Nothobranchius furzeri: one gene and its partner. The protein of the gene in region 2 binds, or shares a complex with, the protein of the main gene of each other region. Links are inferred from orthologs where the notes say so. Each region holds a gene or a part of one and is shown on either strand. Other genes may lie near its edges.

Region 1 (2,619 bases), on a different chromosome or scaffold from region 2:
CGTAATGTTAAAGTCACATGACACATTTCCTTTTTCTGATCCAATCAGAACCTTCCAGATCTGATGCGAGGCGTGGTTTTTGTTGGTATTTGTATAATTTGCTTTTGTTGTCAAATTCTGATTTGACAGTAAATCAAAACATCCAAATTATAAAACTATGCCCCACGTCATCTTAACTTCAGTTCCAAGCGTTCTAGAGAAGTTATCGGAGTGGCCAATCCGTAACTTTCCTCTTAAAGCTGAAAGAACCTAACGACAAGCTGGATTAAATCTGTTGCCTGGATTAAATCTGTTGCATGTTCCACCTGCAGCAACGGTTCCTTCAGAATAAAAGTTTAACCATCACGACCCCTTCAGGGTCTCGCTGATGCCAATAAACTGTCGTGACCTGGGAGTAACTCAAGACTGGAAGGGTCAGCAACCGCTGCATATCTACAGGTGTCAGTTCCAAGAAGGTCCAAGCTGGACCCCCGACATTCCAGATCTAAACGGGGACTTCCGTAGGGGTACATAGACCTGCAGATGGCATCTCAATGTGTTATAATCTCCAAACCAAAGCTTAGAGCGAAACACCATTTCACTCCCATTTGGAACTAATAGTCTCTCCAGATTTGCTGGTTCTGAACATATATTCTGAGGCCAAGAAAAATGTTGGATGTTGAGAGTCTGGAAGGTGAGAAGGAGCTGCTGCCAGCTCAGCTGCACTCCTTGCAGTTGCAGGCTAAGATGTATCTGTAAGTGGCTGTGATGCGCATCCCACCGGAGCAGCGCAGCCTCACTGCCTTCAGGTTGGAGGTGCGTGGCCGGCAGCAGGAACAGGAGCTTTTGAAAGGCTGTTTGAGCACGGAGCTGAAGGAGATTAGGGGGTCTGAGCGGGTGGTGTGCCTGCAGTGGCCCTCACAGCGTGCCAGCAGCACCATCTGCAAAACAGCATGCCAGAAAAGACAGAAGATTCATCACAGGTGTTCTCATCAACCAGAGGTTCTGGCAGACAGGGCTTGCATCTGCCCAGACAAGTCCATTTGGGTTCTGAATGTCTGCGTAGACCTCCAGCAGCAAACCTGCAACCCCATCACTCCACTCAGGTTCCCACACTGACATTAGAAGAATCGTTTGGAGGATAGATAACCAGCAACTTGTCATCTCTAAGTACACACCCACACACTCCATCAGACTGTTAGACTAGAGGCCTCCCAAGTAGCATTCCGATGAGAGTCACTACATTCCTGTTGCTACCCTGAACAGCCTCCTAGGTTATGTGATCCTGTCAGCTGCTGCGTGTCACCACACACACACACACACACACACACACACACACACACACACACACACACACACACACACACACACACACACACACACACACACACACACACACACACACACACACACACACACACACACATTAAAACCAGTTCTGTTTGTGCTGACCAGAGATCAGGCTATCACTCTCTCTCTTTCTCTCTCCTTCTTTGCTTGCCCCTCTTAGTGCTTATTGTTCCTGCTTCACCTCTCACAGCTAGAGCTTCAACAGCTGTTTGCTTCACAGATTTAATGTGTCATTAGTGTAAAACACAAACATTAAAAATAAAAGTCAGGAATCCTAAAGTCTGCAGCACACCAGAGCAGATAACTGATTCTTTTCATAATGTCTCTTATCACCTATATGCAGATGACATTCAGCTGTACTGCTCCTTTAAGGATTCTGAGTTCTACAAACTGTCTGAATTACTAGAGTGTCTATCAGCGATCACCAGCTGGCTAGAAGATAACTTCCTCCAGTTAAACTCTGTGTAGGGTTAAATATTGTTGCTTTTAAGCTTAATATATTACCTTTACTTATGGCCAATAAGCTGTGATTCTCTATATAAATATAGAATATCACATCTTATTGGTTTTTGAATGTTTAATCAGAAGATTCTAGGATTCTTTGCCTTTTCAGTGATCATATCACACTTCGTATTAATTCAGACAGAATCAGGTTTATTAAAGTAAGAATTTATTTTCTAAACAATTAAAAACATGACAAGTTAACCAAGGCTACTGTGATGGATTAATCTAAATGGACGGGATGTGATGTATGGTGATTTTATGGTGTGTGTTTATCAGAACCTTGTATCTAGAATAACTGAGTTCTGGGTGAAAAGAATTTGGTCTGCATTAAACTATGGAGTTGGTTATTATCAAAACGGCACCAGACGCAATCTGGCTGTGTTCTACGTACCCCTGAGGAGACTCCCTTTCGGTTCAGAGATGTCGGGGGTGGGGTGGTGGGACCCCAAGGTACCAAAGTTCGTTGAAAAGACCTCAGTACGACCAGGTCGGTCCAGAGTTGTCTCCCGGATCACAACAGATAGATGAAATTGTTTGCATCTAGAACAGCTGTTTCTGAATAGCTGAAGGAACTGTTTTGCTGCGTCAGCTGTAGTTTCCCTCCGATGGCCAGTCAAAGTTAGCTCAACTAACAGAATGCTGACTCTCACAGAATGTTGGCGTTAAGTAAAAACTGATTTTGTTATTGAACTAATATTAGTGGCTTGACTGTTAAATATCTGGTGCCTCATTAAAACGCAGCTTCATCCTGTTGACAGATACCAGGCTCCACCAGTTCCTACAGGG
Region 2 (4,120 bases):
TTCCCAACCATTTCTCCTATCCATCCAAGCCTAATCCAGTTTCTGATAACACTCCTCTCTTTTCTAAGCTCTCCTGACAAATTGTAGCAGGTTCTATCAGATTTTTTGGGATCAAAGACATGACTAACACACAAATTTAAATCACTATCACTTTATCACTGCTGATATGGACAGAATGACGTTTGATCTGTGACTTTTGCTATCAGATTATACCGATGAACCTTTTGAGTGCTAAAAAAATCACTTTATTTGTCAAACTGAGGATGAAATCAACCTGGAAGAAAGTATTTGATGTAGTGTTATTTAAAAAAAAACTCTTTGAGCAGCTGAAGTGAATTTGCAACTCATTTGAAACACTGGTATGTAAAGTATTCCCAATATGTTGAGTGTGAGTACATGTTCTTTCAGACTCTCAAAACTCAACAAAACAGCCCCCGGCACTTTCTCATCCGAGTCCTCTGACGACGCTGAAAAGCCAAAACAACACTCTTCACTGTGAGTTTCATGCTGCAAGAGAGAGGCCTTCTCTCAGGTTGCCACGACCAAACAAAACCTGTCCATTATGTACTTTCATTGCAATGCAAAACAGATTTCTGATGCTTCAGCATCACTTAAGGCCCTACTTTCAATTACAATGTCAGGAGCACTTAGAGCTGACGAGAAGGGGAGTGGAACCTGTGGTGAGCCTGCAAACAGTCCTACAACACAACCAGGGACTGAAATTATCAATAAACATACCCACATGCAAAGAAATTGCATAAACAAACAACGAAAATAGATTTATCCAGGCTAACATGAATACAAGTTGTGAAGATTTTTAATATCTGCAGAAGAGTAGAGTGGGCACAAAGAGGAAGATTGGGATAGAAAAAAAAGGATGGAAACAGAAATGGGACAAGAGAAGGTAAAACAGAGACAGAAGGGGGAGAAATAAAGGAAGGGGGAGGAGTCTGGATGGTGATCCGGCCCTCCTAGCCCTGGGTTGGTCAGGGAAACCCAACTCCCGCGCGGGGATTGGTCGGATCTCCACCGGACAGAGGGAAAACAGTCTCCCTTCACAGACACAATAAAAGTTTTGAGCTGGGCGCTTTAGCAGCCAGTGGACGCACAACAGGACCTGCATGCTGTGTTTCTCTCTGCGCCTTTATGCACTAAGCTGCGCACGGAAAGCCCCACGAAGCTGAGGATTTATTCTAAACGCAGTTTTTCTATAAAAATGAAGTTTTACATTATATATTAGCGGGAAATACGCGCACACGTCTCGCTTCGCTGCTGCTTTGTGGATTTTCGGATGTTGGTGAATGGCACACTGACGCACGGATTACACGCGCTCCGCTCCTGCTGGACCGATACATCCACGTGCTCCCGTTTCCAAGGCGACCTTACAGTGTTTTGTGGGGATAATAACCGGGTCAGTATTTTAAACCGAGGTCACCCAGCCGCTTGGTTCATTGATGGGGGTGAACATGTCCGGGACGATCCTCCTCCACCTCCTACTCTTCTACTCCGTTTGTCCGCTCAACGCTTTCGGCGAGGACGAGGAGGAGATGACCTGCGACCCGATCCGGATCAGCATGTGCCAGGGTCTCGGCTACAACGTCACCAAGATGCCCAATCTGGTCGGCAACGTGCTGCAGTCGGACGCGGAGCTGCAGCTGACCACGTTCACACCGCTCATCCAGTACGGCTGCTCCAGCCAGCTCAAGGTATACGGGCAGCAGCTCCGTGATCACTAATCATGCGTTAGAGAAGTGAAGCTGGGAAGGGTCCAGCTAGAAACTTTTTGGATCGGCGGGTCCAGTTCCTAAAAAAAGCCTGGCAGAGTTCAGAAAGTCTGCTGTATTTGTGTGTGCGTAAAAGGAGCGTGGCTCCAGAGCACATGACAGGCAGCCAGGCTGCGCAGACTGATGGTGCCAGCAATAATGAGCATATTATAGATTGATTCCCAGGCAGTTAAAATAAGTGGAGGGCTCCCTCCTCTCCTCCCCCCGTCGTGCCATGCTGTCATGTTAATTTGGCTGAAAATGCCCCCTCTGTCTGTTGACATTCTGAGTTCATGGCTCCGCACAGCAGCAGCCGAGCTTTATACTGTAGTCTTCCTGTTAACAATGGTGCCCTCAGTAACTTTAGACAAATGCTGCTTGTTTGACTCTTGCAACTTCGAGGGCAAAAACATGGATTTCTGAAATTTTAACTTCATGCACTGAGATTATGGGGTGCTGATTGTAAATGTATATTAAATAAACAAGCAGGTACATTTGGTCATGTTTAGCTCCCCATAAAAACAAAAAATAGGGTGGGACATTTTTAAAGACAACTTCTCATCCCGTATATTTAGGATATGACAATGTTTCTAAACTAAATAATATAATTTCAAAAGTTATAAACGTGACAAGTGTTACATCTTAAAATCTTATATAGAGTTGAATCTAAACATTTTTAATTTAAGTACAAATATGTTTAACGTGACATCTATTTGTTGAAATCCAAGCACGAAAGTGGTTGTTTTAAACTAAGTAAACATCTCAGGATCCATTTGATAGATTAGGAGTTAATTTAACCATAGATTATTTATAAATGATTCTGTTTGGGTTTCCTCCACAAATGGTTAAAATGATTCTAATCCAAGACCTTAAATAGGGACTCTACTCACTATGCTTTATTTATTTATTTTTTGGGTGAGATACTTTTGTTTTACAGCAGTCTGAATTCGGTCCAGTATTTATTTAAAACAAAAAACATTTACTTTTAGATGCAACTAAATACATTGATTAATTTAAATATTTATATTAAACTTCATATTTTTATAGTGGATTATAATTTTATATAGTCAGGCTTTATTCTAAATAGTTATTATTTTACGTCATTATTTGTGGTCTGTTAATATTTGCGTGTATAACTTTACAGTCAGGGCCCCATGCGGGAGTAATGACTGCATAAAAGATGGAGATAACCTCCCTTTTCTCTTTTGGTGAATTATTAAGCTGTTTGGATCCTGTTGTTAAAATATGTTATGTGACAGCCAAGCAGGATAAAATCAACCTGCCGTCCTCCAAGTTGTAAATCATCCTGTAAGTTTAGCTGACACCCCTCCCTTCCTGCTGCTCTCCCTGCACACGCAGAGAAAAACACACTAAAGATGGAGAAAGAGGAAAGAGCCACCAGCTAATGGAAGGCTTCCTGAGTGGTAACTGGAGCGGCTTTTAGCATTAAAGTGGCAGCGCTCAGGTTACAGACGTTCACCGTCCTCGTCACTGGTTAGGCATGCACCGTGAGAAGGTTCATTACAAACCAGGCTGGATGTAACTTTATATCTTCTACTTGTTTTGTGAATGAATGAGTCGAAACGCAAAAGCTGCAAGGATTTGCATCCAGTTCTGTTTACAACCTTTCGGATTTGATCTGAACTCACCGAAGGGCTCAAGTTAGATGTGTTAAGTTTGGGAACAGATGTTTATCAGTGTTGTGGGGAAACTGTTTCCAGATCAGTTAGGCAGCTCAGTTTGCAGCTATAAAGCTGACCCAGACACTGATCAGAGAGCAGTAGAGAAAATTAAGTGCTGGGAAAATGTGATCTGGAGTTTATATCAGTTGGAGTTCACACAGGAGGGGATTCGACTCAGCTGATGCATCATCAGACGCGTGTGTGTTTGCTCAGATGTTTAACCCTCTGGAGGCAGGCGTTGCAGATTTGTAACAGTTAAAACCTACCTACCTGGTTACTCCACATACGTATTTCATGAGCATTTTTTAACTCAGAATTACCCCTGAAGGACTTATTTTTTCGTCCTTTTATCAAAATTGAGTTTGAGCCTGAGAGGGTTGTTTGCGAATAAATTCTCAGACTTTCTCAATTTGAACACTCTTGGATGATTTGGAGATTCCGTTTGTCCAGAAGCTGAGTGTCAGGGACTTGCATAAACCAGCCAGGAGAGCACGGATGATTTTCTTGACATGTTAATTTATTACTTTTTTTTTCTTTTCTCCAAAGAGGGTTCCAACCAGCACTTGACATTACAAGACGATGGACGAAGTAACAAAGTAACCCAAACTCAGGATCTGACTACAGACATGCACCAAACAAAAAACCTCCTACAGACACAACATGATCAACTTAAAT

Evidence for each region.
Region 1: the proteins of fzd4 (region 2) and ndp are in contact, whole or in part, in a crystal structure (PDB 5BQE), measured with the Homo sapiens proteins. The link is inferred for Nothobranchius furzeri from reciprocal best matches to the Homo sapiens genes FZD4 and NDP. Residues at the interface, in NP_036325.2 of Homo sapiens: Ser51, Met52, Gln54, Asn55, Leu56, Gly57, Gln95, Phe96, Met105, Thr107, Lys109, Ile114, Asn152, His154, Met157, Cys158, Met159, Glu160, Gly161, Pro162; in NP_000257.1 of Homo sapiens: Asp33, Ser34, Pro36, Arg38, Met40, Arg41, His42, His43, Tyr44, Val45, Asp46, Lys58, Met59, Val60, Leu61, Lys102, Lys104, Leu106, Tyr122, Leu124, Ser125.

Annotation. Positions count from the first base shown.
Region 1 is NC_091754.1:39,764,500-39,767,118, forward strand, and holds the end of ndp (norrin), read right to left. Parts: intron 921-2,619; coding exon 696-920; 3' UTR 538-695; downstream 1-537. UniProt on the Homo sapiens protein: Activates the canonical Wnt signaling pathway through FZD4 and LRP5 coreceptor.
Region 2 is NC_091753.1:34,489,248-34,493,367, reverse strand, and holds the start of fzd4 (frizzled-4), read left to right. Parts: upstream 1-1,221; 5' UTR 1,222-1,454; coding exon 1,455-1,706; intron 1,707-4,120. UniProt on the Homo sapiens protein: Receptor for Wnt proteins.